4 linked regions of the Rhinolophus ferrumequinum genome follow. The protein of the gene in region 1 purifies or fractionates together with the protein of each later gene. This does not show direct contact. Links are inferred from orthologs where the notes say so. Each region holds a gene or a part of one and is shown on either strand. Other genes may lie near its edges. The genes, in order: DDX5, CDK9, TRIM25 and DROSHA.

Region 1 (7,857 bases):
AAAAGTTCTTCCAAACTTACAGACAATGTTTTCCCAGATCCAGTCTGTGCCACTCCAACCATGTCCAATCCACTTAGAGCAACTGGCCATCCCTGAGCTTGAATAGCAGTGGGTTCAGTGAAGTTCTGTCTGGCAATCACATCCATGACGTTTGCTATGATTATCAACACACATTTAGAAAAATCAGTAAGGCCAAGAAAAGGGAATTTTTTTTAAAAAGGACAAAACTCAAAACTAGTACTTACCAGGAAAGTTTGCTTCATAAAAATTCAGAACTGGCTTTGGGCAGTTGTGACCTCTAACTGTAACTTCCTTGCTTCTTCTGTATGTCTCTACCTCTTGCTACAAAACAAATAATAATCTGGTTAAGTCTTATGACAACCTCCTCCAACTAAATATGCAAACAATAAGCCCCTAATCTTATAATTGATTAGGTACTTTAACATAGCCATTTTAATCTGAATCCATGTGATGAAAACCCTACATGGCACAGAAAAATGTCTATTGTGTTATATTCTACCATGCTAAGTAGAAAAATTCAGAGCCATTTATTTCCAAAAGTGAGTAACACCTCTTCCCCAACTAATAAAAAGGCATGATTTCCCACAACTTGGTCATTTGCCAACACTTTTCTGGTCAGATTTTGATTTACTGTAAGTCACTAAGTTAAACCTGATGAAGCCAAAGAAAATTACTCACCGCTGTGCGCCTGGCCAAATCAGGGTGTTCTTGATAAAAATTTTTCTCAAATTTTGGCAGCTCATCAAGATTCCACTTCTTTTTAACTAATTTCTCCCCAGGGTTTCCAAACTTCTTTCCTGATAGGGGCCCTGCCCTACTTCCTCCAAATCGAGGTGCACCAAACCTGCAATTAAAAAAAAGAAAGTTACGTTTTCAAACGTCTATGTAGGAGTTTATATACACTCTAACTTACTATTCCTTGGCACACGCTAAATAAAGATGGATGAAAGACTTCTGGAGGAATAAGACCTAGCGCTGTCCTTAGTGATGATCATTCTCTCCAAACCACAATTAGCACCCTTCTCCTTTTCCCTGTTGTCCCAAGTACACGCTATTAAAGCCAAAAAAACAGCCCAGGATTTATCAGGTCGGAAATTGGCTGCCCAAGCACCAAAAGCTCAGATTACAAGGACAGACAACAGCTTGTGGCTACCGGTCTTTCCCACGAGCTTAGGAATTAAATGTCTGAGAGAAGGACAATACAAGAAGGGAGGAGCTTATTAACAGCGATGTTATTTACCAGCTGTTTCCAAGCAAAGGGTCTTTGGTTTCAATGGATAACGGGACAGCACAGGCAGTGAAAGCAGAACAAGCAAGAGTGGTGGTCTCGGGGACACTTATACAAGCCAATCGACTAGGGAGGAACCGCGGAACGGCTTCCGATCAAGGTAACAAAATTATATAACGCAAAAAAAAAAAGAGGAGGAGGAGCTGGCGACTACCAGGGGAGGAGTCCCGGCCCGGGCGGAGTCGGCCGGGCGGCGTTCCCGCTGGGGCGGCGCTTCCCCCTTTGTCTCGCATTTCTCTCTGCGCCACATTTTCTCGACGCTGCCATTTTGAGCTCCTCCGCCGGGCGGGGTAACAAAGGCGCCGGCGCCATGTCCGACGCCGGCATTTTGTACCTACGGCTCAGCCACATGGCCGATTACCGTGGCGCCGGCCACCCTCCTGCCCCCGCCGCATCAATGGCTTTCGAAGCGGCCCTCTCGGCTCCCCAAAAAATCCCCGAGACTCCTAAAACACCTCCCAAAAGGTTGCACTCAACAGCGACAACTTCGTTCTCCTCGAAGCGTCGCGCTTTCCTCCCCTCACAACACACTCAATTCTCGCCACAACTGCTAAATCGCCGAAGCCCCGACGCTCCCAAACAAAAAGCGAGACTGAGGACCGTTTCTAGAAAAATCTTTCCGTCAGTTTTGGACAAATAACAAAATGGCGCAAACTTTCCCTTGAGGAGGCCCAAAAAACGGCTGAAAAAGCCAAGTTCCCATCGCTACCCACCCCTCGTTCTTTTCATTGGCCTCCCATCCCCCACCCGTGGGGCCTGACAGGTCAGTTCCCCCACTCACCCTCGATCCCGACCGCGGTCTCGGTCACTCGAATAGCCCGACATGGCGTCAATGATTGCGGTTGGCGGGGAACGAAGTGGAGAGAATCTGGTGCGACGAGTCGCTGTGGAGGTGGCTTCGGCAAGCAAAGCCTTGCGGGGGCGGCAGCGGCGGAAGGACGGCGATGACAGGAGCCGGAGCTGCTCCGCAAGAGACCGATGGAAATGAATGAGGTGCCGGCCGCGTCCCGGCAGCCGGTTTTATAGGCTGGACCGCCTCCTCCGCCGCAGAGAATGCTGGGAGCCGCTCTATGACCTAATCACCCCGCCCCTGCGCAGAGGCCGCAACGCCCGCAAACGTTCCGGAATCCGCCATGTCCTCTCCCCTCCCCCACTGTCCCTCCCTTAGAGTCGCCCGTTTTTTGCCCTTTCCATGGCTGGGCCCACTCACCACCGGAATGCCTCAGCCTACACTCTCTTTGACTTCACCTTTTTCTCGTCTTTCCACACCTCAAGGAAGCTACCCCGCCCTTTTCAGGTCCAGCACAGGCTATAAAATGGCCAGCACAGGGCAACCCACTCGGTCCACTTGGAGTTGTTTACGTCTCCAAACAGCGCTCACGCCCAGAACCATACGAGACAGGAAGGCGGACCCTGACATTGTCACGTGGCTGACCCCGCCCACCGGGTGAGCGGACCGCACTACTTCCTCAGTTGGCGTCCGCGGAGGAATACAAAACGAAAAGCTCACCGGAAATGCCGCGCTAATGCCGCGCTAACGCCGCCGGGAGACCGGCCCCGGCTGTTGCGTGACCCGCACTGTCAAACCCACCCACCTGAGAGTCGCTTAGCGCGATCTTTCGGGAGGAGAATGGTATCTAGAGCCCCCAAACCGCCGCCTCGGCGCGTGTTGCGAAAGGAAGTGCTCCTCTGATGACCAATCAGTGGCGAGAAGCCGTTTTAACGCCCTTCCCTCTTTCACTCCTCCTACCCTGCACTTTCCTGTCGTTCCCCCTCTCAGCGCTGTATCGGCTTGTTGCGGCCCTTTCAGGACACCGTCCCCCGCGCGCTCAGCTGCGAGTCGGGCGGCGACCTGCTTCCGCGACATGGCCAGCTCAGAGGCTGGTGAGTCTCAACCTGGAATCCCGGTATATGTGGACTAAAGCGGGCCAAGTCACCGAACGCCCCTGCCTATTATATCTTGAGACTTCAGGCCGGCTTCAGCTAGGTCTGGGCTGCCAGCGGGGCTCGTGACACACACTCCGTCGTAGTAACAGGTTACCTGGAGTGTCTCTTAGCCCACTTCGCTGTCCGCTTGGAAGCCGTCGAGCGCGATTTTGGGGGTCGGGGAGAGAAGGTCTCTGTGGCGAGACCTGTAGTATGCTTGCATCCTGGCTGCAAAAAAGGGCAGTCAAAAAGTTTCTTCCCCGGACTCCTGTTTCTCTGGGGTATCTAGCCGCTTTCAAGTGCTCTTTACTCTTGCATTGTGGGGACTGAGGTAGTACCGGAATCTGTATTGAACTTTGGAGGAATGGCACTCTTAAGATCTGTTGATGCCCCTACCAAAGGAAAATAGTGGATTTTTGTCTTCGGTGCCCTCTGGAGTTACCGGCTTTGCCTAGCCTCGCTTTTGAAAAGCGCATTGATTTGGTTGTCTAGGACGCTTTCATCCTTTTCTCTAGAACAGCGTTCAGATTAGTTGTGATGGTTTGGTCAGCTGTGAGAAATGAGTATGGGGGAGAGGGAGATGATGTGCCTTTAAGAGACACACACGTACACATTGTTTTCTGGGAAGAGGAAGATAACGTGCCTTGAACACACAGTCACACATTTCTAGAACATACTGAAGACAATCGAATGCAGAATAAAGGAACTTTACCTTTAATCAACAATCATTTCAGGGAACAAACGTTCTAAGTTTTCTAAATTACCTTCGGTCGAGAAACTCTTGAAATAATTTTTCTAATTCCAACGATATCTGGGGTGGGGAGGGTCGTACACAGGAAACTTCCACAGTATCGGTAATGTGCTAATTCTGGATTTAGGGACTTTTAAATAAACTTTCCGTATTTCCTTTCATATAGTCAAATACAAAAAAACTAACAAGTGCAGTAGTGTTGGTGTCATTACTCCAGTTCTTAACAGCCTAAGTTAATCACTACCTATTTGGACACCAGAGAAATTGTTTGCATAAGATAATTGGGTAAAACCATGACTAATGCTATTGGGAATTTGAAGCAACATCCATTAGTAGTTTCTAGTAGCCTCGGATTATCTTGTTTGGGACACAACGTTCCCACTTACCTGTAAATATATTATAAATAAAAACACCTACATATGGCTTGTAAAATAAGAACCACAGTAAATAACTTAAGATTTTAGGTTGCGACAGTCAAAATTAGATTTGTATTCCATTTTTGACTGCACGGAAATTATTGCAGTCTGGAAGTCATCCCAAGTAATTAATTAGATACATCTTTTCAAAAATCATGCCTAGGAGGATCTTTGAAATCCTATAAAAGTCAAATTCCTTATCTTCTACAAAATTCAATGTCTGTTTTTGTGAGGGGGTTTTTTTTGTTTGTTTTTTCAGATTATGACTTTTTCTAGTGCTATTTAAGGCTGACCTTTTCCTTTTCTCTCCCAACAGAGTGGGTAGCCATTGCCAATAACCTTCTTTTGAAATGTCACATACACCTGAGAATACATGAACTAGAAGATTGTGATGCTAATGTCTTTATTGCTTTTTATCAATCCATTTTGGGAGAAAAGGTACCAGGTAAGGGTGCGAAAAAGTGGGAGTAATAATGTCTATATCTTACCCCAGAAGTTTCTAGTGCCTTTAAGTGAGATCCTATGGTATTTATAAAATCTTGAGTTTTCTCTTTGTCTCCATTTTATTTCTATCTAATTATTGCATTCATTGCCTTAATGAATACTTTATGAGACCCACCCCTAGTAACAGCCTTGGTCAAATCAGTTTGACGGGTCTTGGTTGTCACTGTTTAATCATGTTTGATGCCTTGTGAAAGTCACACGTTTTCTGTGACTAAAGGTTCTAAAATTGAGTGGAACTTGGGAACTTGTGCAACCCTGTTGCTTAACCAATATTACAGATTAGAATTGATGTTTGTACTATATCCCTGGTTAAATATCTCAGAGTCCTTATCCATAGATTTCTCTGCCTTCATTTCTTCACATAAGAAATGTACCAAAATAAGCTCTACGTAGTCTCTCTTCCTTTCCCACTGTTACCATGAGTCCCTCCTCACTTCCTGGAATAATGGAATAGCCTCTAGCTGGTATCTTTGATGCTAGTCTCAACCCTCTTTAGCGTCCCGAGGTATATACAAGTACTTATTAGGCCAGTCTTTTAAAATACATTTTCATCCTTCCCAAAAAACATTCATCTTCTCAACACCAGAGGAGGAACTCAAAATTTAAGTTGATATTTAAAAATCCTTCTGCACTCAGGTCTATACTGATCTTTTAAACCTCTATGCCAATAATTCTTAATAGGGCCCTTTAAAAGGACATACAGTAACCCTCATTTCACACCTGTTGTTGTTTTTCTCTCATGGAAAGCAGCCCACGGTTATAGGTTAGTAATTGCTGCCCTTACAATCGTATTACCATCTTGAATTTAGGGATTTTTTTAAATTGGGGAATATTGGGGAACAGTGTGTTTCTCCAGGGCCCATCAACTACAAGTCGTTGTCCTTCAGTCTAGTTGTGGAGGACATAGCTCAGCTCCAAGTCCAGTTGCCGTTTTCAATCTTTAGTTGCAGGGGGCACAGCCCACCTTGTGGGAATTGAACTGGCAACCTTGTTGAGAGGAGAGCTCTCACTCTAACCAACTGAGCCATCCGGCCCCGAATTTAGGGACTTCTTTCTCTTCTTTAGTGTACTACTTAATGTAGAGCATGTTCATAAGTTTATTCAACCATATTCAATCAATAAATATGCAACCAATAAAGATTCTGTGTGGAATTCAGGCTCTATTAACTTTATCTGTACTTTATAAAAACTGTTCTGTTTGGGCAGAGCTTACTTTTGTAGCAGTTGAACTTATCAAGAGCCTGGTCCGAGACAGATAGATGAAAACTTGGACCCTCACAGATGCAAAATTAAGGAGCTTTTCCTCCACAGACCTCATAGCTATTCCTAAGAGTCAAGAGGATGAAGCTCACAATGTACAAGCAGTAATCGATTCACTGGCCTTGGATTACCTGCAGGTCAGCTTGTCTCACATAACAGGTTGGTATATACTTCATCTCCAGATAATTTTGCATTTTACAAAAATAACTTGTTAGACAGAACCCAGGACATTATTTAATTAGCCAAATGAGTAAGCTTGTGAAATAGACCAAATGGCAAGACTGAGCCAAGACAATCGATTGAGTATGTATAGTTAAGGCAGCCATCCTTGAGAGCTTTCCCGGGAGAGTCAGACATTGAGTTTATGATGGATCTCAGTCAAAGTCCTAGAGCTGGTAGTTGGAGGTATGTTTTTTATTGTTGTTTTGTTATTTTAAAGCTACCATGCTACTTGTCTGTAGTAGCTAAAAAATTAGAAACATCTAAGTGTCCATTCGTGGTGACAGGTTAAATAAATTATGGTAGCTCCAGGGAACTACTGTGCAACTATAAAAGATGATTGATTATGTTCTTTATGTACAATGTTCCATATTAGTGGGACAATCACCATTATATATTGTGTGAGAAAAATGTGGTGCAATTACAATGATAATATGCAGAGTATGCTACTATTTGTAAAAGCAAAGGCGGGGAGAACATTTATGCAATAGATTTCATGTAGAACTCTCTAGAAGCATATACGAGAAACCTGTAATACTGGTTGCCTCCAATAAGAGGAAGTAAAGGGCTGCAGGACAAGGGTGGGATGAGACTTCATTATATACCTTTTGTAATTTTTAAATTTTGAATCGTGATTATCTATTCAATATAAATAAAACTACAAATTATTTTTTGAACCTTTTCCCAAAATAAATTATTTTCAGCTAATGAACAGAAGGAATCTTGGGAACTTGAAACTCAAATCACTAAAAGAGGGTTTATACTGTTGATTTATTCTTTAAAGGAGATAAATGTTAATCAGGATAGGTTATTTACATCTCTTAATTTGATACTGACAAGAACAAATTTTTGCAAAAATACTGTCTTAAGTTTTTGAGTGCAGTTTGGGAGAATAAATGTAGTAAATTATTTTGGAGATGATTCATTTTGAGGGGTAACCGTGGGGTTTTCCTGTTCTTTTGCAATTTAGAATTGCTTTATCACCAGAGTAGGGCAATTTCTGGTAATTTGTGCTTTTAAAACATACTATATGGCAAGGTAGTGTCCGCTTATAGAACTTCTTACAGTAGAGCTTCTCCGGACAACTCACACCCACCATGAAAAGTTACAAACTGCTTACCTCCTCCAGTAGCCTGCAGAGCAGCCTTTTTACTCCTGTGTTGTGTAAAGCAGTTTCTCCTCCACTATGAAGCACTGCATTCTGGCAGGCAGTCTAAGTTGCTGGGTTGGCAGAGTATGCTCCCCATCCTGGAAACTACGAAGTCCTGAGTATACCCCTGGGGTATACTTGTGTATCTCGTTAAGCCAGAAAAACATAAGGCTTAAAAACAATATTTCTGTTTGTTTTAAACAGAAAAACACCTGTCAAACATTGTTTTTACTAGTATTATAAAACATCCAATTTCTGGTTTAGGTTTGTTTTGCATCATAACTGAAGTTACAAATGGCTAGATTCTTTCAAATATCAAATT
Region 2 (7,748 bases), on another chromosome or scaffold:
CCTCCCCTGCCAGGGAGACTTCTGCATCCTGCAGGGCCCAGAGGCCCAGGCAGCCTGGCCACCCACCTCAGGGGTGATGGAGCCACAGAGCTGGCTGATGAGGGCGAGCTGATGCTGCTCCGTGTTGCCCTGCATGATAGGGCTGCGGGTCCACATCTCCGCCATGATGCACCCAGCACCCCACAGGTCAATGGGGGGGCCGTAGTCCCGCTCCCCTGGGAAGAAGAGTGCACCAGGAGTGCCCCTTGAGCCCGAGGGCCTCCTGAGACGCAATGCCCGGGGGCCGGCGGCTCAAGAAGCCCTGGCAGTGGGGGGCTGAGGCCAGGTTAAGTGCCTAGCCCCTGCCCCCTTCTGCCCACTCGGGAGTCCTCACCGAGCAACAGCTCTGGGGGCCGGTACCAGAGCGTCACCACACGGTTAGTATAGCGGTTAGGCTGACTGTTCTTGGCGAGACTGAAGGCCCGGGCCAGTCCAAAGTCTGCCAGTTTCAGGACCCCGTCTCGGGTGATGAGCACGTTAGCTGCCTTCATGTCCCTGTGCAGGATCTGCAAGAAGGGCAAAGGTGAGGGCTCAGTCAGGTTCCCAAGGGTCCTTTAGCCCCGCCACCCAGCGGTGGGAGTACAGGCAGACCAAGCCTCGGTCTCTCCTCCCCCACCTTGTTCCTGTGGATGTAGTAGAGGCCATTGAGCAACATCTGCATGACCCTCTTGATCTCAGACAGTGTGAACTTGACTAAGACGTTGCTCAGCAGCCCAGCAAGGTCATGCTCGCAGAAGTCAAACACCAGGTATATACTGCCTTTGCAGCGGTTATAGGGGGAAGCTGAGGTGGGAAGAATGGGGAAGGAGCAAGAAGAAGAAAATAAAAAATCCCATATACCACTCATTTTCCCACAACCAGCTCCTACCCCCCTCCAACCCACTGACACCCAGAATCCATCTGTGGGTTCCTTCACTGGTAAAGTATTTCCCGAGTGAGTCCTCTGGGCCAGGTGCTGTGGCGGACCCTGGGAAAGCACCAGCTACGATGAAAGGACCAGAGAAAGCAGTCACAGTTGGTAGGTATGCCTGGGTTAAAAGTGTGTCCAGTTCCAACTTTGCAAACAAAGCCTTAAGTTCTAAGCCTCATTTTCTCCATTTGAAAATGGGAACAAGATTCAAACAACTTACCTTTGGTTCGACAGATCTCAATCAAGTTGACCACATTCTCATGTTTTAGAAGCTGCAGGATCTTGATTTCCCGCAGGGCGGTAATGGGGAACTGGGTGGAATAAAGAAAGGAGGTCAAAAGTGAAAGCGCACTGCAGATCAAGGAACTGGCCATGGGGTCTATACTAACGGGAACAGGTTGGGAAGACACAGTAAGATCACAGGCTCTGAAATCAGCTATCTCAGATGCCTTATCTGTAAAATGGGTGTAAAGTAGTATGCACTCCTCAAGAAGATGCTTTCAGACAATGAATTGAAATAGTGATACTTAACCACTTCATTATTGGTCACTAAACGCTCCCTAATTTCTTCAACCTTTAAATTTTAGCTCTGTGCCTGTGTTTAACTTGCTGGGTAGTAACACAAATGACCATTCAAGTTCCTTGCTAACAAGCACATCTCTGAAAGCTGGACTAGAGCTAAGATGTGGTGGGAGAGGGACTCCTTTTCAGTTGAGTACTAGTCACCCTTTTAAAGCCATTGCATGTATTTTCCTTTTGCACTGAACAAAATTAAATTCTAAGGGAAGTGTTTTAACAAAGGCTTTCCAACTTCACAAGCCCAAGTGCATTCAGTGCAAGCATGAGCTCCCCCTCCTGGCCCCAACCTTGTATTTGCCTAAGAATGAAATACCAAATGCTTTAAAATATTTGAACTGAAAGATTTAATTTGGAAGTCAAATTTCCTGGGCTATGGAAATTCTCGAGCTACTACACATAAACTAAATTTCAACACGTGAGTCCTAGAAGCAGCAGGATGGAAACCCACATGCCCCGGGGAGATGGCTGGCCAGCTAGCCCACCCGACCCATACTCACCCCCTCCTTCTCGTTCTCCATCAGTACCTTCTTCAGAGCCACTTTTTGGCCGGTCAAGCGGTGCTTTGCCTTAAACACCTCCCTGCAGGCCGAAAGGGGGACCCAAAAAGATTCATCAGGCCGTTTTCACATGGCTCGCCCCTCCCCCTCCAGAGGAGGAGGGCAGAAAAGAGACTCCCGTGTAGGGCTGAGCCTGGTACCTAGGGCAGTGGGCTACCCTACTATCTGCGGTCCCTCTCCCAACCTCTACTTCCTCCCCAGTCTCTTCTCCTCAGCCTGACGTCTCTCGGAGAGATCCTGCTCCCCTCACAAGCTCCTCTGCAATTCCTGCCCGTTCCCCACCATGGGCCTCAGGCTCCTCCCCGCCAGCCAGCTCCATCAGGCCCCGGCGGACTGCAGTGCGGCCTAGCGAGACCAGGGAATAACTCTAGGGCCAAGTGGCTCCCCGACCACCTCTGGCCCAGCCCCGGGCGTCCCGACGTCGGCCCTGAGGGGTGCAGGCCCAGGGCACCGGGTCCCTCGGGGCCCATCCTTACCCAAAGGTGCCTTGGCCGATCTTAGCGAGCTTCTCATATTTGGTCACCTCATCACAAAAGGGGCACTCCACCGAGTCGTACTGCTTTGCCATGGCCGCCTCTAGCGCGCCGCCGCCACCCCCAGCCGCCGCCGCCGCCGCTGCTCCCGCTCCGGGTCCCGCCGCCGTGCTCCAGGCCCCTCCGCGGCCGCGCCACTTCCGCCTCCACGGCCACTTCCGGCCTCGAGGCGCCGACCCCGCCTCTTCCGCCCGCCGCCCGCCGCCAGGCCCCCTGGGACTTGTAGTTCCCGGGAGGCCAGGAGGAACCGGAGCTGCAGAGGCGCCTCCGCCGCCACCGCTGCCCCCACCTCCGCCGCCGCCACTGCTGGCGGCGGCCCCGATTGGGGGCGCGGGGAGCCGGGGCGCCGGGGCTGGGGCTCGGGGCGGTGCGTCCCGCTGCATTGGCCCGGGCCGCCGCTGCTGCCGAAGCCGCTGCCGCTCTGGCGCCCGATCCCGGGCCAGCCGCAGTGCCCTGCTCCTCCTCCTCCGACGGCGCCGCCTCCGCCGGGCTGCGCGGGGTGGCGGGCGGGGGGACGGCCCCCAAGCCGCGGCCTGGGGGGCTCCCTGGCCGGGCCCGGGCCCGGGGCGGCCGGGCGAGGGGGCGAGACGGGAAGAGCCGACGAGGAGGCGGCCCGAGAGCCCGGGAGGGGGCGCGTTATAAAGGGGGAGGTGCCCGGGCCTCGCCCTCCCCTCCCCCTCCGCCCGCCCCCTCCCTCCGCCCTCCCGTCCTCCGCGGCCGCACCTGCCGCCGCCGCTGCCGCCGCCTCCCGCCGGCTGTCCGCCGGCCGCCCTCGGCGCGTCACAGCCCGCGGCCCCTCCTACGCCTTCGGAGGTGGGGCCCCGCACTCGACACCTGGCTGAGGGGCGCCTCGCCGTGTGCCTCAGTTTACCGCCACATGCCAGCTGCCGCGGGGAGCGCCTATTCCCCCCCCCTCACTGGCGGGAGGCAGCGAGGGAGCGGCCTAAGGTCCGGGAGGAGAGAACGGCCCCCGCCACCGCCTCCCGGGGCCCCAGCCACCCGCCGTTGACATGGTAACCGACGGCCACCAGGGGGCGCGGCAACACTGGAGGCGGCGAATAAGCAATGCCCGGGCCTTCTAGCGCTGGACCCTGTTCTCTGGGAGGCAGGGATGAAACCTAGAGGACCCCCGCCCCAGCCGAGCTGCGCGAGCCTTGGGTCAGTAATCACAAAAATAGCATTTACTCAGTACCTCTGTGTACTCAGGAAGTACTGGGCGTTTCCTCTGAATCCTGAATCAACAGCGTCATAGTAAGGATCACTAACCCATTTTACAGAAAAGGACATTGAGGCTCAGAGAAGTGAGGTCATTTGCCCAAGGTCACACAATGACAAAGCTGGGACTCGAACCTGGTCTGCCTGAAGGGGATTCTCCTGACTCAGGCTGTCCTGGCCAGGACTACAGCAGTGGTGCTGTTTGAGGCCTGCTGTCCTTACGCCAGGCACCAAGCCTGCCATTCACCCAGTGTCTCCCTCCCTGGCCGTATTCCCCCTTCCCCTGCCTCAGCCCTTCTCCAGCATCTTTCTGATATCTTCCTGGCTCCAGGGGGCCTCCCGATTCTTCCTCCAGCTCCACTCAACAACCAACCCCCAGAAAAGCTGTCTTTTACCTCCTCTGTACCCCTTCGATCTGCCCCTCTCCATTCCATTGCCCATGGATCTTGAGTCCTGGCCTCCCCAGTCCGGCTTCTCCATCTGTCTCCCTCACAGTACCCACCAGAGCATTCTGAAATAGAGTCTGCAGGTATTTCCCTCCACTCCCTTAAAGAAAAAAAATTGTGACATTTGAGGTTCTTTCCAGCTCGCCTCCTAGGCCACACGAATCTCCTGTGTTTCCTAACTCCCCAGGCCTTCCTGTCTTTAGGGCTGTGCTTCCTGATTGCACCCCAGAACCTCTCTATCTGCATGAAACTCTCCAGCTCTTACTCCACATGCTTAGCCTTGTAGCCTCCTTGTAGGAGGAGGCAGGAGTGGGTCTGCTGATTATGGTGTCCCAAGAGGCCCTGTTCTGGACAAGGGCTCTGCCAGGGAGGGCCTTGTGGGTCCGGTGAGGAGCAGGGAGCCCTCCCTCTCCTGAGGGCAGTGTGGAGCCGGCGAGGAGGGTTTTAGGTAGTCGAGTGACATACCAGGGAGTGATCTGGGATCAGCTTCATGGGTACACTTAGAAGCAGGGAGGCCATTGGCTAAAGTGGGAGTGCTGAGGGCAAGGAGGGAGAAAATAATTGTGATAATTACAATTTATTGAAGGAAAATAAATGGTCCAAGCCGTACACTTAGCACTTTATGGGTATTATCTCAAGTCTCACTCAGCCATATAAGTTGAGTACTATTATCACCTCCATTATACACATAAGGACACTGAAACTCAGAGGTGACATCACCTGGCCAGGGTAAAACAGCTGGCCAATGGCCACACTGGCATTTTGAGCCAGGCCAGTCTGGCACAAAGCCCCAGCACGTACCCATGTCAGGACCCCACCTACCTGGACGGGGGGTGGAGCACAGGCATGGCACAGCACCACTGGATGAGTGCCCTGGATGCTGATGGGAGCTGGAGGAGGGGATATCAGCATTGGGGTCTATCATGGGTTTGTGTGGGTGCCACCATCAGTCTCTCAGACCGGGGCCCCTGCCCACTTCCCATGAATACTCCCTAAGTCACATCCTGTGGGCAGAAGCCTCAGCAGAAGTTCCGGTGGTGTCATCACCTCCACCCTACTGTCTTTGACCTGTACCCCAACATTTCACCAGTCACTTCACTTCCCCTCTGCGCCTTGTGTCTCCAGCCTTCCCTGGGGAAAGAGGGCAGGCAGGAGTGGTCAGAAAGCTGCCCAGGCTGCCCAGGTGGAAGGGAGAAGAAATGAAGCGCGAGCCAGAAACAATTTCTCACTGACTTGGATTTCTGATTCGCTCTTTTGAGGGAAATGCTTCCTGCTTCCCTGGATTGGCTAAGCTAGCCAGGCCGGACGTGTGGCCAGTACTCAATAAATGTTTGCTGACTGACTACAAGGCTGTGAGAGAGCCTGTGGTCCTGCTGCCATTTAACAGTCAGGGAAACTGAGGCACAGGATGGGAAAAGGAGCCACTGGCCTGGACCCTCTTATTTTCTCCCCCAAGCAGGGACAGGGTGGAGAGGGTATGGAGGGATGAGGAAGATGGGCCCATGGGGTGGGTGCTCTTGGCTGCTGGTAAGTCTGAGGAGACAAGGGATCCCTGAATGGGGGGTACAGAGAATGGCTGTGTGATACCTAGAGCCCTGTAACACCATGGACATTCTGTCCCCACTAGACGGGTACTGACTCTGCCAGGACCTGTATTGATATGTTGTCCCCCTAGAACTTTACAGCACCCCTATTAGGAGGTTGCTAGTATCAGGCCCAAGTTACAGAAAAAGAAACTGAGGCTCAGAGTGTGCCCAAGGCCACACAGCCAGGAAGCTATGGAGCTGGAATTCAAAGCCAGGTCCCTCTGCTCTCAAAGGCTGGGGTCATTTATCACTATCCTACACTGCCCCCAATACCAGACAAGTGGGCAAGCTGGGGAGAGGCATCAACTGAGTCCCACAGTACAGCAGGCGTGGGGCCAACGTGGATGCGTAAGGCTGCTTCCTCTCAGAGCACAAGGTCTGTTTGGAAGATGCAAAGAAAGACACAGGAGAACGTAATAGGGATGATACTCTCATATAAATGTTTTATTTCATTGCCACAGGATCGTGTGAAGATGTGGTATTTGTCCCATTTTACTGATGGGGAAAATGAAGCTCAGAGAGCTGATGTGACTTGCCCAAGATCATGCAGGTGGGGTCTGAACTCAGGTTTGCCTGAGTCTTTGACGACGAAGTTGAAGGCTTCCAGTCCCTAATAGGTGCCTGGCCCAACTGCAGGCAACTGAGTTTAGACTGGGGAAGAGGGCAAGGAGAGGGGACAGAAATCACAGCAGGGTTCCTGGGGGCACTGTAGCTGAATCTAGACTTGAGGGACTCAACGGAGGCAAAAGATGGAGCCGGTGGAAGGAAGAGCTGCGCTCCAGGTATGGGTCCAGCCCAAGCAAAGGCCTGATGGCAGGAGAGCACTTGTGTGTTCAGTGCTGCGGAGCCAAGCGTGGGCAAGGCTGGGCTGGACTCCAGCACAGGCTGAGGAGGGCCTGTGGGACAGCCAACCGCCAGCAGGTCCCCCAGCCGCACTCCTAACGGCCACTTGAGGCAGCACAATGGGGGCTCTGAGCTGGGCAGAGCCTCCACACTGAGCCCCATTCATTCTCCCAGGGATGTGGCAATTGCCCTGGTACCCGGGCCAATGGCAGGGCCCCCAGCGCTGACAAGGCACCTCCATCACACAATATAGTCTCGTTGTGGCCGGTATTCCCGGGGCTCACGCCGTGTGCCTGATGCTGGGGTTTCCTGGCCTGAACCACCCCTATTCTTCCGCAACAACTGCCAGGGCTTGCTGAGGCCAGAGTGTACATAGGCTCCTTTCATATTCCTCCGGAAGTGGGGGCTACTGTGACCCATTTCACAGATAAGGAAACAGACCCAGAGCAGTAAAGTCTCTTATGAAGGATCACATAGTAAGTCGGGAGTGAGCCTGGCCAGGAAGTCGGTGCTGGCTGATGCCACAGCCTCAGCAGTTGGGCCAAGTCCCTGGGACTGCCTCCTGGGAGAGAAGCCAGGGACCCACTAGGAAGACCCGCAGCTACCACCAGGCCGCAGGCCCCTTTCCCTCTTCCAACAACAACCTGGAGATGAGAGGGGCACCAGCCTGGGAGCTAGGACACCTGGGTGTCTGTCTAGTCTCTGTTCCTCTGTAGCCTCAGTTTCCTCATCTGTGAAATGGGACAATAGCAGGATTTGCTTCACAGGTCTGTTGTAAGGATTCAGTGGACGATCTGTGGAGGCTTCCAGCTCCATGCCTAGCTCATAGTTAGTGCTCAGTAGAAGAAGCTAGAATTGGACCTCCCCTTTTTCTCCCAATTCTATGACCCAGAAACCCCATCCTTTCATTTGAACTTTGAATACTGGTCCCATCCAGCCTGTCTGTGAGCAGGACCCTGGTGTCTTGGTCTCATGGGCTATGTCCCTTTCTCTCTCAAGGCCTCAAGTTCCCCCTCGTTCCATCAAGGAGGTTCAGTTGG
Region 3 (7,406 bases), about 14 Mb from region 1:
ACAAAGTGAGAAATAGACAATTAGTATATTGAAGTTATTAACAGCTTCCGGCAAAAATTGGTAGAACAACTAGACAAAACAATTGGGAGGGATACAGAAGTTCTGAACCTTGATATAATTGACATTTATACATTCAACAATTTAACACACACTTTTTTTTTCAAGTATACTTGGAATGCTCTCTAAGATGGACCAAATGTCCATCATAAAACAAGTCATAAAATAAGTCTCAACATATTTCAAAAGAGAAACAGCTTACGTAATAGTGCTGACTAAAATGGAGTTGAATTAGAAATCAATAACAATAAGATACCCAGGAAAGCTCCAGATATTTGGAAATGAAGCCATATCCTTACAAGTAGCTAATGTATCAAAGAAGAAATTAGAAAATATTTTGAATGAAATGGTAATGAAAACACACAAATTAAAACTTGTAGAATATAACTAAAGCAGTGTTTAAAAGGAAATTTATAGTTTTAAGCCCCTATATTAGAAAAGGAGGAAGTTTAACAATAATGATCTAATAATCCAACTTAATAATCTTGAAAACGTGAGCAAATTAAACCAAAAGTAAATGGAAGGAAATAATAGTTAAGAGAAGAAATTAATGAAGAAAAAGAGCAGACAAATGACAGAAAATTAAAGCCAAAAGTTGGTTCTTTGAAAAAAATTAATAAAATTAATAATCTATTAGATGGATTAATCAAGAAAAAAAGAAAGAAAACACGTTACTTACATCAGGAATGAAAAAGGCGTTACTATAGATTCTACTAACATTAAAAGAACAACATGGTATATGATTTCACGTACATGTGGAATCTAAAAAACAATAAAATGAGCTAACAAAACAAAACAGAAACAGACTCATAGATAGAGCAAACAAACTTATGGTTGCCAGATGGGAGGGGTATGGGAGATACGTGAAAAAGACAGAGGTTAAGAAGTACAAGCTGCCAGTTATAAAACTAGTCACAGGGATGTAATAACGTACAGAAGGGACTATAGTTAACAATATTGTAATAAATATGTATGGTGACAGATGGTTACTAGAGTTATCGTGGTTATCACTCCGTAAGGTATATAAATATCTAATCACTATGTTGTACACCTGAAACTAATATAATTTTGTATGTAAATTGTAATTAAAAATTATTCAAAAATGATTACAGGAAGAAAAAAAAGACCTCTCATGTTGATGAATTTTCAATTTTCACCAGGAAATTTATTGATAATGTCTTTTTTAGTTGTTATTTTTACAGATATAATAATATGATATGATAAAAGGCTATCCTGGGGGGAGCAGGGGAAAGAGTAATATTATGGTAGAGTAAGGACCTCTGAAAATTTTGCCTCCGTAAAAGAAAACTAACAAAAATTGTCAGGATCAACTTTTTCAGACCTGTGGGAATTAGCGAAGACCTTACAACAATTCAGGGAATGCTTATTCAAGAAAAGTGGCTGTGTGCTCGCTTCCGCAGTACAGATACTAAAATTGGAATGATACAGAGAAGATTAGCATGGCCCCTGTGCAAGGATGACACACAAATTCGTGAAGCATTCCATATTTTTCTGACCCCTCCCCGCCAAACCAATAAAGCATAAAGCATAAAAAAGAAAGGAAGAAAAGAAGGAAGGAAGCAAGAGAGTGAGGGAGGGAGGGAGGGAGGGAAAGAGGAAAGAAGGAAGGAAGGAAAAAAGGAAGGAAGGAAGGAAGGAAGAAAGAAAGAGTGGCTGAATCTTGGTAGGAACAGCAAACTGTGGTGTTTTAACTTGTCCCATTCCCATTACTCCACTTCCAGCTCCCGGTAGTCTTGAAAACCAATAGTCTGCAAACAACTCTGAGACCTTAGAAAATACCGGGAAACTTATTGGTTCTATGCATTCAAGGAAATCTCTATTCAGTTGTTAGCTGATCGCTAGGCTAATGGAGCAGAGACTTTAGTAGCAACATATGACAATAAACACAGACTTCAGGGAATTAAGTCAGAAAAGTCACTAAACAAATAACAACAATGAACAGCCCAACAACAAACAGTGGGGAGGGGGGAATCTGGTATCCACAGTGCCACATTGTATAATTTTAAATATCCAGTTTTGAACAAAAAAAATATGAAATATACAAAGAAAGAAGAAAGAATGGCCCATATGAGAAAAAAAAAACACAGAATTTATCCTTGAGGAAGTACAGATGTTGGACTTACAGACAAAAACTTTAAATCAGCTATTTAAATATGTTCAAAGAACCTTAGGAAACCATGTCTGAAGAAATAAAGGTGAGTATGAGAATGATGTCTCTCTAAATAGAGAATATCAGTAAGGAGGTAATGTAGTATTATTTTTAAAAAGAACCAAATGAAAATTCTGGAGTTGAAATGTATAATGACTAAAATAAAAAGTTCACTGGAGGGGCTCAGCAGCAGATTTGAGCAGTGCGAAGAAAGAACTGGTGGACCTGCTTATGATCTACTGAGATGATGTAGCCTATAAAACAGAAAGGGAAAAGAAGAAAGAAAGGGAAGAAAGAAAAATGAACAGAGCCTCAGAGACCTGTGGGACACCAACAAGCATACCAATAATGGGAGTTCCTAAAGAAGAGGAGAGAGAGGGAAGGCAGAAAGAATATTTGAAGAAAGAACAAAGGAATACAAAAGTAAGAAGGCAGGAACGGAGAGATAGAAGAACAGAAAAGATGTAAGACATAAAAATATAAGGAAATGGCAGATGTAAGTCCTACCTTATTGGTAATGTAATGTAAATGGCTTAAATGTTCCAATTAAAAGGCAGAGATTGGTAGAATGCATAGAAAACATGATCCAACTATATCCTCTCTGTAAGAGCCACACTTTAGATTCAAAGACACAAAAAGGTTGAAAGTAAAAGGATGGAAAAAAGAGATGCCAGGCAAATAGTAACCAATAACAAGATAGACCATATTCAGGTAATAAAAAAAGTTTCCATAAATTTTAAAAGATTTAAATAACACAAAGTATATGCTTTAATCATAATGGAATGAATTTAGCATAGTATGTCTTACGACATATCTACTGCATAGAATTTGAAAAACATAAAGTATGCCCCTCCTGGTCATTTTTTCTAAACTTCTCCTCCAGGAAAGAGAATTCCACAAACATTCTGGCATGAGTCACCAGGCCACCTCACCCACAAGAGGTAGGTCATAGGGGATTTTACGGTATTTATTTACTGAAAGCTGCTCTATGGCTCCTCTTGAGAGGCAGCATTTTATAGTAGAAAATGTTTGCCTTCTGGAATCAGATAGCCTGGATGCCAATATCCATTGTATTAGGCAAGTTATTTAGTTTCTCTAAGCTTCAGTTTTCTCATCTGTGACATGAGGTAATTATACCTACCTTAAAGATTTGTGAGAATTAAATGAGATACTATACCTAAATCTTAATTTCCTACCCACCTCATCTTCTGTCTTCCTCCTCATGCAAACAACAATGCAATATGAAAGAGAACAAATGGGGTCAAGGGGCCTGGAGGAATAGAAATAGGGGAACCAGGAATTGTAATCCCAGTCCTAAATTGTGTAAAATACATGACCCTCATCTATAAAATGGGTATGATTTCTGTCTTGTGGGAGTTATAAGGACTAGAAGCGATTATAAAGATTATAAGAGGGAACATATCTGACTTGTCTAGCACACAGTAGGTGTCCCATAAGTGGTAGTTATTACTTTTAGCAGTAGTCTAAGTCATTTATTTACCTTTTTCTCATTTTTGCGGCTCATCCTCTCCCCAGTGCAAACTCCAGCTAACTCCTCCGCAAACGCAATCTTTCTCTTTGCCCCCCACCACGTCTCTTGAACACTTCTCACCTCCTGTACACTGACTTTTCCTGCACTCTGACCAGAGCGGGAGAAACAGAGGTAAAAGAATGGAAGGAAATAAATCTAAATAAACAATTTTGAGAAAAATGTTTAGGTTCCAACATTACTTTTTTGGCTGCGTACGTGTGTGAGAGAAAAACCTTTGTGAAACTGGGATGTCTCCAAATCCTACTAGTAAAGTCCTGATAAGACAGTCTTGCCGCCGGGGCGGAGGGGACTCCTCGGGTCTGGATGAGTTCTCCTAAGGAAGGAATGCGGGGCAGGCGCGTTTGTGCAGAAGCCGGACTGCATTTCGGCTCTGACTCCCCGGATCTGGGGTTCTCCACCCGACACGTCGGTTTTCTCCTCCGCAGGTGGCCCTAAGAACCCCGCGGTGGCTGTGAGAATAACTTGAACCTCCGAAGACTGCTAGTCCGAGACTTGGGACTACAGCCACCACCCGGTCGCCAGAGAAGGAACCCCGCGCGCCGGCTCCGCCCCCTGCCCGTCTCCCCGGGCCCCCACGTGATTTCCTGAAAGGCCGAGAGACCGCCCTCCCGCCGCTCAGTTTCGTTTTCTTGGTGGCTTTGGGCTCTTGTGCTACAGTCGCGGCCGTCGTTTCCGCGCGTCCCGTCCGGTCCTCCAAGGAGCGCTATGGCGGAGCTGTCCCTGGCCGACGAGCTGACGTGCTCCATCTGCTTGGAGCCCTTCAGGGAGCCGGTCACCACTCCTTGCGGCCACAACTTCTGCGGGTCGTGCCTGGACCAGACGTGGGCCGACCATGGCGCGCCGTATAGGTGTCCTCAGTGCCGTGCCGCGTACCAGGTGCGGCCGCAGCTCCGCAAGAACACTGTGCTGTGCACCGTGGTGGATCAGTTCCTGCAGGCCGAACTGGCCCGCGAAGCGATCGCCGACGGCTGGACGCCACCCGCTCGCGCCACCGCCCCCAGCCCCACCGACCAGGTGGCCTGTGACCACTGCCTGAAGGAGGCCGCGGTCAAGACATGCCTTGTGTGCATGGCCTCTTTCTGCCAGGAGCACCTGCGGCCACACCTCGACAGCCCGGCCTTCCGGGACCACCTGCTGCAGCCGCCGGTTCACGACCTGTTACACCGCAAGTGCCCTCAGCACAACCGGCTCCGGGAATTCTTCTGCCCTGAGCACAGCGAGTGCATTTGCCATATCTGCCTGGTGGAGCACAAGACCTGCTCGCCTGTACCCCTGAGTCAGGCCAGCGCTGACCTGGAGGTAGGGGGTGGCGGCGGAGGGCGCAGAGGGGCAGCTTGGGCCTGCTGGGTTGTGCAGAGGACGCCGCCGTGCGCATCTCTGTCTCCCCTGGATCACTTGGATGGGGGTGGGGATGGGGCTGGGCCTTGCTGGGCCTGAGATCCGGGACAGAAGACACAGGTGATGGTGCTTACTTTAAGTCTAGGGCTTGGCCTGATGGTGTTAATAAAGGGTTTAGAATGCCAAATATGAGCCCTGGAGGTTACCTCTGTTCCCTCATTAAATCCTGGCAGCACCAGGAGGTGGGTGTCATTAGTTCCATTTTTCAGTTAGGGAAAGCAGTTCGGGAGAGGTTACTTAGCCTGAGGAACCCAGTAGATGGCCAAGTAGGCATTGGGACCCAGCTGGTTTGACTACACAGTTTGCCGTTTCTCCCCAGGAACCAGCTTCATACCCAAGTCTACAGAGTCCAGAGCATAAGACATTCCTGGAGGATTGAGGTCATGTGAGCAAGAGCAGTTGGTGAGCCAGAGAGTTCTAGTGAGTAGGGAGGATCCCTACGGGTGGGTTGTGTCTCAGGAATTCTTGGATATGACCCACAGGAAGAGCCAGTGCTCTTGCACCATAGTGCCCTCCATCCTGGCTGTGTGACTTTGAGCACAGGATTTGGCCCCTGGGCCTGAGTCCTTGTCAGTAATGTGAGGAGGTGGGACCTGGTGGATTCCTAAAGGGCCTTACAGGTCTGTGGTCATTTTGGAGAATCATAACTTCTCCCGGTGGAGTTAAGGCAGAGGCTTGAAAAGGTATCACCTTTTGTTTTATCAGTCTAAGCTCCAAAGCGCGCCCCGATTTCTTTTGATTCTCACAGCACTGTCAGCTGTCCTCATATTGTCAAAGCAGACCTGAGACCTGGGGGAAGTTTGCCGTGGCATCCAGGACTGGGGTGCAGGCCTTGCTTCCATCCTGCCACAGCCCCTCTCTGGCTGGGCCTGCTTCTCCCAGTCTGAGCTGGGATCCTCTGGACTTCTTCCCTGAGTCTCAGAAGCCCGACCTCCAGGCACTGCCTGAGAATTGCCCATCTGAGGCCCGGCCATCTGGGTCTCCGACTGTCATAGGAAAGAACCTGCCTAGCCTTTGGAGCCAGGAGGCCTTCTTGGCCCCATACCAGCTGTGGTTTAGGGTCAGTCACTGCAGTTCTGAGCCTCAGCTTCCTCATCTGTAAAATGGGATTAGTACAGCTCCCATTTTAGGGACGCTCCGGAGAGAGGAGCTATGTGGGACGTGCTTTGTAGGCTGGCCCCAGTGTCAGGCAGAGTGGCTGGCTGACACAGGCTCCAGGCAGAGCTGGATGTTGAGACCTGGGTTTGAATTCTGGCTCTGCTTCCTAGCTGGGAAATCCAGAAAAGGGGGACAATAATAGTACCTATCTCCGAAGGTGATTGGGAGGATTAAATGAGCAACCTATAAACTGCGTTTTATGGTGAAGGCTCATTGCTGTTACTCCTCCCAGGGGAGAGGGAGACCTTAACTCGCTGGGCAGTGTCAGGCTGCCCAGATCTTTTTTGCCTCAGGGTGCCTGGGCCTGCCCATGAAGACTAGGGCAGCCTGGCTCCTGCTGAAAGGCCTTTCTAAGAAGTTCTTACCGGTGGAGGCAGAAGGCAAGTAGAGGCAGGAGGCCCCTTGTCAGCCTGTCTCAGAGCCACAGTTCTCTCAGCCTCCAGGGCCTGGAGCTGGATTCTACGCCCAGATTGTGTGCTGAACACACTTGGCTTTTTAATCCTTGTAACAGGCCTTTCCCCTCCACCTCCCCTCTTTCGCCATTGTCCTGGCTGCGTCCTTTCACCATGTTCCTTTTCCAGCCCTGCTGCTGCTTACTCCTGGTGGCAGAGCCAGCCCCAGCTGGGCATTGCCCCAGCCTTGGGTGGCTGGCTGGTCTCCATCAATAGTGCCTCCCGTGTGGAGGACCCAAGTCCCCAGTCTGTGAAGGGATCCTCAGAACTTCAAAAAGGTCTCTAACCTTGATTAGGGGATTGTTGTGGCTATCGAAGTCCTTGGGCCACTTTCCTTTTGTCTGGAGTTGCGTGGACCCCCTTCTTCCATCAGGGGACTGTCATACATGTTTGATTAATGGTAAATAAAATCTTTTAAAATACAGAATTTAGGAGTTCACGGTTAAGAGTGGCTCTCGGAGGTGAAACATTTGGCAGCCCCCTGGTGTTCTGAGGTTTCTTCCAGCTCTTGAGATCTGCGAGGCCAGACCTGCCTGGGTCTGGCCTTCAGCCTTTGGTCCAGTTTATATTGGCCTCTATTAGAGGCCACGTCAAAGGGCATTGTCACAGAGGTCGAATC
Region 4 (7,565 bases), on another chromosome or scaffold:
CAAAAAATTAGTTATATATACAAAAGTACTTGCACATGTAACTCAAGTCAGAGGATCAAATTTAATTTAGATAAGTTAATTATCTAAAGATAATCATATTAATACAATTAAAACCCCAAATCTATTTTTCAGCCATTGGATTTATTAAAAAAGACAAAAAAACAAAGTGAGGTAATTTTGCTTTTTCACTGCTAATCGTTTCATTCAGCAAACAATAGTTATATTGGAAGGAAATGGTAAAATGTATCAGTAAATATGTATATAAGTCTAAAGGTACTTCAGTGATTTAATGGAGTTAGTCATCAATGGAGCCAAAATTCCAGAGGATGAAAATCATGTTATTCAAAAATGAACTTGACCAACAACAAAATATAAATGGTGTGGTGTGTGAAGAAAGTCAAGAGACTTGAAAACTTGTTCCTGGTGTTTTGAGAACTCTTTTTAGAAGAGCTAAGGCTTAATCTCACCCTATTTGTGTGTAGAGATAATTATTAAATTATTACAGGAATCCAAAATAATATATAAGAAGCAATCAACCTCTTTCATACTCATAAATATGAGGAAATTACCTGATTGTTGTGGTAGAAATGTCTTTGCCTACTGAAAAGTGATGTTTGCCCTCTCTGATTTGCTGAGCCCACGTGGGATGAAGCCATATTATATGAGAAAAATGGCCAGCATACACTGCAGGCATAATCCAATTCTCAATACTTAATTCTCTGGAAAAGAAATAGAGAGGAAGAAAGAAAACTATTAGTGAGTAATTTTTTTCCCCAATGTAATTTCATTCACCACAATATTTTAAGTAGTAAAGGTGAAACAGTTAAAAAAAATAGGAAATGAAGAATAATGAGTTTGATACAAAGGAGAAAATGTGTGTTCTAAGGGACCTTGAGGGGTTCCTGAGACCTTTTCTGTGACCATCAGTTAAAAACAATTTTCCTAAAGCATTCTTTCCTAAGGCATTTTTTCCCTTTTTCATTGTATTGACATTTGCACGGATGTTGCAAAGCAACCTGGTGGCTTGATGTCCTAAGATTAATCAAAGCGACGGCATCAAACTCTACTAGTAGTCATCGTATTCTTCACTACGAAGCACTAACACTCGCTCCCCCCCCCACCAAAGCTAGTTTCACGTATGAATGTCTGTCCTTCATGATTAAACCTTGATCCTGAGTATACATTTAAAAATATTTCGTGTGGCAAAATGAGAAGTATACAGAAAGTACTTCTACTACATACTTTGAAGTACAATAGTTGTCAAGAAAAACCACTCGTGATTCAATTGCAAGCTAAACACCGTTTTTCTTGAAAGAAAGACGGATTGATAAACCGTGGTTATTCAGACTTGAATGAATCTGAATTGTTAGATTCTATAGTCCCACTAAGCTTTAAGAAACTACCACTTGTCAAGCGTTCGTATAGTATTAAAGAATATTCACAATTATCTGAAAAGGCTATGAAAATTCTTTTCCTGAATTTTTTTCATATTCTTCCACCGACAACATACGACAATAGACTGAATGCATTAGCAGATATGAGAATCCAGCCGTCTTCTATAAAGGCAAATATTAAAGAGGTTTGCAAAGATTTAAACACTGTTACTCTTCTTACTAAATTCTTTTGCTTTACAAAATGTATTTGTTTTCATAAAAAATACTGTTATTTTGAAATGAATTAATATTTTCAACGTTTTTCTCAGTTTTAACTTCAAATATGGTAAATATCAATAGCTATGACCCATACTAAAGAAAAGCTCAATAATTTTTAAGGGTATACAGGAATCTTGAGACTAAAAAGTTTAAGAACTATTATTCTATGACTAACTGTACAGTCTGCATACCTGCTTCATTATTCTTTTCAACTTCTAAAATATAACACCTCTAAATATAAAAGAGAGTAAAGACAATGGCAGATGTACCATTTCTTTAGAAATTAGTGCTCTGAACTGGAATTTTGGAAAAAGTCAAATGTAGTAGGCTAAAATTAATTAACACAAGCATTTATCTTTTAATTTTATATTATAACAAGAAAATTACTGCTATGTTACTTTTTATATTGTACAAGTAGGCTACATTCTAACAAATATGTACATAAAGAGACAGCAACAGAATTTGGGGGAACTTTCTTACAGAAGAGAGGTTAGTAAGTCATTATTTACAGCTACATTAGGTATGATCCTTCCTGCAGAATGGAATAAAAATGACCAACTTCACTTCTACCTTTATGGTTCTATATAACTGAAAAGTCGGTAGGGTTTGTGACCTGAAAATAAACAAATTGGGAGGTTGGAAAAATATAATACTGGAAGGAAAGATATACAAATGAAAGATGTGTTGCCTATACAATTACTGAACTATGTGTTTAAAACACATTTTCTTGTGACTCAGTATTCAGACTTTTCAAGTGGAGAGGAAGGGAGAACTGGCTCAGATAACTTCTAAAGTTTCTTCTATTTCTAAAATTCCATATTCCAAAGAAGAGGTTGGCACACATTGGCTGGGCTTCCTGTTTTTGTAAATAAGGCTTTATTGGAACACTGTCACAGCCATTTGTTGACATGGTGTCTACGGATGCTTTCACACTACAAAGGCAGAGATAAGTCGTTGCAACAGAGACCATATGGCCAGCAAGCCTAAAATATCTACTACCTGGCTCTTGAAGAAAAAGTTTGTTAACACTTGCTCTAAATAAAATAAAAAAGGCAAACAAAACAAAAACAAACTCATGAGATTAAGTCTATTTCTCTTAATTATCACCTACTGCAAATTGTATTTCAAGCACATAAAAGATCATTAACAAAATCATATATTACCCGAAAAGAGTGTCCTTGTCAAACACTGTGTCAGCTGGCATATTCACAGGAATAAGCAGGTCTGGGTGTGAATCAAAATGCACAAAACTTATATTACTGGCAGGAAGATGCTTTGAGCCAATGGCTCGGTATATAAAAGGCAGAACCTGTAAAAGACACATGCACACATTCAGAATTGGCACGGAAGTGATGAGAATACACTCAACTGCAGACTGAAGATCAATGCTACACATAACTGCACATAATCTGAAGCAACTAAGTGGTTAAAAAGGAGGAAAATATATGTAGGAAAAAGTGTTCATTGAAGATGATTTGGATAATGACCTCAAACTTTGTTTCCTCAGAACTTCCAACGTGGACCTCCAAAGGCTTTAAGGGATATCTGTCCCTTGCTGCTATCCTGCCCCACAACAAACCCAACAGATAACGTGAGGATGGGTCGGGCTGGCGCTCAGAAATAACCTGCTAGTTAATAATACACGTTCCGGCATTAGCAACGTGTTCAAGCCACCCAGGGTCTCCGGGCCTTTTCCATATTTCAGGAAGGTGCCGTACAGCTCTTTGTCCTGTTCCAGTCTCTGCAGTTCCAGGGTTAAGACTGAATTTGAAAGCACCGCCTAACCCACCGCTTGCTCTTACTCTCAGGCCCATACACGTTATCTCCAGGTCCTGAGAAACCCAGCTTCAACTGCCTTCCTCTCCTCTTGCTGCATCCATAAATCCGAAAGTACCCTTTTCCTCTTTCCCAGAAAACTCCCTAGGCCTATTAATGCCACCTAGAAAAAAATTAGAAAAAAAAGTCTTACATCCATGGCCTTCCATGTAGGCTTCTAGAAGTCTACATTAAGGCACCATTTTAGCTATTCTGCCATAAAAATAGAAAATTAGCACTGCCATAAAAATAGAAAAGATCTTTAGTGTTTCTAAACGTGGGGCATCATGTTAAAAAAGTGAGGTACACGCTATGCACACAATACTAACGGCCCTAAGAGTGCTACGACGGTTGTCCCCATTTCACAGATGACAACCCGCATTCTTTACAAAAAGCCTCCCACCTACACAGGACTGTGATGGAGACGCCGGGGCACAGCTGGAAGCCTGCGCTACGGTGCAGGTTAAGGACTCGGGGCTCTGCAGTAAGGCTGCCGGGTGCGAATCTTGACGTCACCAGTTGTTGGTTGTGGGACTTTTGGGCCAGAGTCAAATGAGGTTGCCCGACGCACAGTAATCGCCCCATAAACGTCAGCGCTTATCTTTCCAAGTTAGCTTCTAAGGTAGGTTTGGTGTTCTCCCCCATTGCAATGCAACTCGCGGGCATAACAGATTCTGGTTCTCTCTCTGGCCTCCTCCGCCCTCGCGCGATTCTGCCCCAGCGCCCAACAGCCGTCCGCTCACCTCCTGATGATCCTCCACCACCCACACCGGGAGCTCCGGGTAGCGTCGGAGGCTAGCACGCTCTCCCGCGGAGTCACTCATGTTTTCCATGCAGCAGCGAGCGCCCCTGCGAGACCAGGACGCGGGGACAAAGATCCGGGAACGCCAGAGAGGAGGGGCCGCCACTCTCCCCGGCTGGAAACACACGCTCACCCGGTTGCGGTTCCCTATTGGAGGACGTAGAGGGCAGGAGGCGGGCGCCGGAGGGTCCAACGAGGGCGATTGGCTTAGATGTCCATCGCGTTTGCTGACGCGCCAATCACGGTGCACAAGGCACAGCGGAGCGCCCCCAAAGCTTTCTCTCCCGCGGTCCGGCTTTCTCAGGTTTGCCTTTTAATTACCTCGGTTTCCTGTTCCGGAGGCGCGGGCGGTGCTAAGATCTTGGCGGCTGCACAATAAGCCTGGCTTTGCTCTGACGGCGACCTCGGCACCCGGGAGCCTTTTTGTAGGTACAGGGGCCACCTTGCGAGTGTTGGGAGAGGGAGCGTTTCCGAGGGTCCGGATTTAAACTTAGGGGCTGGAGGCTGGGGCTAAGGCGAGAGGCGCCTGGAAGTTGGGGTCGGACAGCCCCCCACTTCAGATCTGCAGCTAAGGGCAAAAAAGCGACCCTAGGTCCGGATCCCGTAAATAAATAGAAGTGAAAAAAATGAGACTTTTAATTCATTTGTGGAGCGCTTGCGCTGGTCCAGGCCTGGGGGTCGCCCACGTCTGGGAGGGGAGGTAGACGGTGAGCCTGGTTGGGGTTCACAGTCTGGCGGGAGATGCAAATAGGGAAACACGCAATGCAGCCGGAGGAAGATGACCGGCCTGCGGATTCAACTGGGGAAAGAGGATGTTCTTAAAAATGTGTTCACACTTTGCAACTCTTTCTGCATAGATTCATGTTCCTGGACGTGGTGCATCAGTTTCCCTCAGTTTCCCTGCTTCCAAACAGCGACTTAGGAGTAGGCAGACGGAGAAAATACTTTTCCAGTTGCAGTGAATTCCTTGACTTTTGAATTAAAGTTTGCATCCACAGCACAGCCTGATTATGCCTTTAATAGGTCAGTTTCATACTCAGTGTTTTCAGATAGCCTGTATGGGAACGTCCATGAGGATCTAACAATGAACGTTCAACTGTTACACATTGTTTGAGAGTGTTAGTGATCCTGGCTGTTGCCCACTTCTAGATCCAGAACATTCCTTTGTTTTCCCCTACACCATTTCTATACCTCTTGTGTTTATTGCATTATATAATTTTTTTTAAAAATGGAGGATTCTGAGCTCCTTGAGTCCTGCAGGCTGTGTCTTACACATCCACAGGGCCTGCAATAGTGCCCTATGAATCAGTGGAAAGAAGGCCTGTTTTTTTTGTCTGGTTTGGCTAATGCGAATCTGTTGTGGGTATATGTGGAAGTAAAATATACAGTAGCAACATAGAAACATGTACCATCGGTGAGACAGTAAACATTTATTGACCACCTACTGTGTGCAGGATGCTCTGCCAGGGGCTGTGAAGGAAACAGAAATGACTATGAATCAACCCATGTCATCAAGGAGCTAATAATCTAGTGGAGGAGTTAGACATGTGCACACATGACTATAATATGGGGCAGTCTCTGGTAAGTGCTGTAAAAGAAGTAAGTACAGACTAAGAGCAATGGAAGTCCAGAGGGAATGGGATTACTTCCTAAAGGGAACCCGGAAAGGCTTCACAGGAGAGGTGGCATTTGACATAGTAGGTCGATGAGTAGAATTCAGTGGACAAATTCATAGTGTAGGAGATTTCAGAAGAGTGGGAGCAAAGAACAAGCTGGGTGACAGTACTTGGTATGTTAGGCAACTGGGAACACCAGAGTGATAGGTGCTTCATGAGGACTTAGTGGAGGATAAGCCTGGGTTCAGATTGTAGAGCGACTTACAAAATAAACATGGGGTTTGAATTCGATTCTGTTGGCAGTGGGTAGCTCGTGGTGGCAAGATCAGCTGTCTAGGCCTTAGGTTTATCAAGAGGGCCTCGGACTGAATAATAATCGTTACTCAGGTATTACTTGGCGCCTACTATTTATTAAGCACAGTGCTGAAACTATTTGCCTGAGCCATTTGAAAATCTACGTTAAGCTTATTTGTAAAAGTTTTAGTTAGACTGTAGGAAGATGCTTCTCCTTTAAAGCTTTTTGCACTTAATATTTATTTGAGTTTTTAAAACATTTTGCTGAAGTTTATGTATTTGGAAAGTCATTCACGTTCAGAACATTTTCCGATGAGAAGAGATGAGAATGAAAATCAAGGATAACTGTTGTCGTTACAAGATTATAATTATGTTTGAACTCACTGTGAAAGAAGTTTAGAGTACAGAGAGGGAGAGGAGAAATGAGTCCCTCCCCACCCCCCAGTCTTTTAGCATATTAGAGATGGAACACGCCCAAATTTTTAGTCTTCTTAGCTACTTACTGTTTCAAGTCAGCGGGACAAGGATATCTTAAAAGGTAATTGTAAACTTTAATTCAGGTCAACATGCTCTTAATTTTGGTATTATGATAAATGCATTGGAGAATGCAAAATTAGTGCTAAGATCATTGCAGAAATATTTTCTAGCATTATTAGTTTAGGAAACATTTTTATGTCTATTTTATTCTTTCCTCTAGAGTTTATATTCTCAGTGGAAGATGTGACGTTGATCCAGACAGAACTCCATGATGCAAGGCAATACGTGGTGAGTGGTGTGATAGTAATGGCAGGACTTTTGGGAGAACAGAGAGAGGAGCAAACACTGACCCTGGGCCATGGAGTGGGGGAAAGATTTAGTTATGTGAGGAAAGGGGAAAAAGTGTTCATTTGGGCCGCATACATGGCTAGGAATCCACACTAGAGCAGTTAGTGGGACAACATAGCCCTGTCCCGATGGAGCTTGCAGCTGTGAGCTGCAGGCAGACAATATGGATGGAATTAGGTAGTCAGTTGGTGAATTGTAATTCTTGTAGGGCCTGCCAAGAAGAAGCACAGAGTATGTGAGGGCAAGGAACCTAACTGGCCTGGGGAGTGGAAATAGTGGTTGTAGAAGGTCCATCAAAGGTGTTATTGTAGTAGTTAAGGTAGAGATGATGGTGTGAAGTGGATAAACTCAAGAAGTATTGACAAAGCAGAAATGATGGGAATTTTAAAATAAATTTTTAGCTAAAGAGGATAAAGAAGGAAAAGTTGTTAGGTTATTCCCTGGTGTATGACTTGAGGACTAACACATGTCGGGTATTTTTGCTGTAAGCATCTTTGCCGCAAGCGTTTTTGCTGCAAACATTTTTGCTGCATAACTTATTGGCCGTAAGGCTGTTTTGCC

What was found.
Region 2: the proteins of DDX5 (region 1) and CDK9 purify together in Homo sapiens (affinity purification with western blotting; 3 studies listed by BioGRID, with this or other methods). This does not show direct contact. The link is inferred for Rhinolophus ferrumequinum from reciprocal best matches to the Homo sapiens genes DDX5 and CDK9.
Region 3: the proteins of DDX5 (region 1) and TRIM25 purify together in Homo sapiens (affinity purification with western blotting; 3 studies listed by BioGRID, with this or other methods). This does not show direct contact. The link is inferred for Rhinolophus ferrumequinum from reciprocal best matches to the Homo sapiens genes DDX5 and TRIM25.
Region 4: the proteins of DDX5 (region 1) and DROSHA purify together in Homo sapiens (co-immunoprecipitation; 4 studies listed by BioGRID and IntAct, with this or other methods). This does not show direct contact. The link is inferred for Rhinolophus ferrumequinum from reciprocal best matches to the Homo sapiens genes DDX5 and DROSHA.

The regions. Positions count from the first base shown.
Region 1 is NC_046304.1:42,882,568-42,890,424, forward strand, and holds the start of DDX5 (probable ATP-dependent RNA helicase DDX5), read right to left. Parts: upstream 3,013-7,857; 5' UTR 2,905-3,012; intron 2,713-2,904; exon of another isoform or gene 2,520-2,712; intron 2,270-2,519; 5' UTR 2,135-2,269; coding exon 2,091-2,134; intron 866-2,090; coding exon 700-865; intron 343-699; coding exon 246-342; intron 155-245; coding exon 21-154; intron 1-20. Other genes in the region: CEP95 (centrosomal protein of 95 kDa), read left to right, coding at 3,175-3,193, 4,719-4,847, 6,218-6,325. UniProt on the Homo sapiens protein: Involved in the alternative regulation of pre-mRNA splicing; its RNA helicase activity is necessary for increasing tau exon 10 inclusion and occurs in a RBM4-dependent manner. Binds to the tau pre-mRNA in the stem-loop region downstream of exon 10.
Region 2 is NC_046295.1:76,825,442-76,833,189, reverse strand, and holds the start of CDK9 (cyclin-dependent kinase 9), read right to left. Parts: upstream 3,004-7,748; 5' UTR 3,002-3,003; coding exon 2,562-3,001; intron 2,108-2,561; coding exon 2,026-2,107; intron 1,261-2,025; coding exon 1,170-1,260; intron 823-1,169; coding exon 656-822; intron 546-655; coding exon 374-545; intron 216-373; coding exon 67-215; intron 1-66. Other genes in the region: SH2D3C (SH2 domain-containing protein 3C), read left to right, coding at 3,730-3,776, 7,708-7,748. UniProt on the Homo sapiens protein: Protein kinase involved in the regulation of transcription.
Region 3 is NC_046304.1:28,459,393-28,466,798, forward strand, and holds the start of TRIM25 (E3 ubiquitin/ISG15 ligase TRIM25), read left to right. Parts: upstream 1-4,394; 5' UTR 4,395-4,484; coding exon 4,485-5,078; intron 5,079-7,406.
Region 4 is NC_046290.1:20,747,350-20,754,914, reverse strand, and holds the start of DROSHA (ribonuclease 3), read left to right. Parts: upstream 1-4,560; 5' UTR 4,561-4,694; exon of another isoform or gene 4,695-4,698; intron 4,699-5,126; 5' UTR 5,127-5,292; intron 5,293-5,723; 5' UTR 5,724-5,850; intron 5,851-6,876; 5' UTR 6,877-6,924; coding exon 6,925-6,944; intron 6,945-7,565. Other genes in the region: C7H5orf22 (UPF0489 protein C5orf22 homolog), read right to left, coding at 570-719, 2,816-2,961, 4,211-4,300. UniProt on the Homo sapiens protein: Ribonuclease III double-stranded (ds) RNA-specific endoribonuclease that is involved in the initial step of microRNA (miRNA) biogenesis.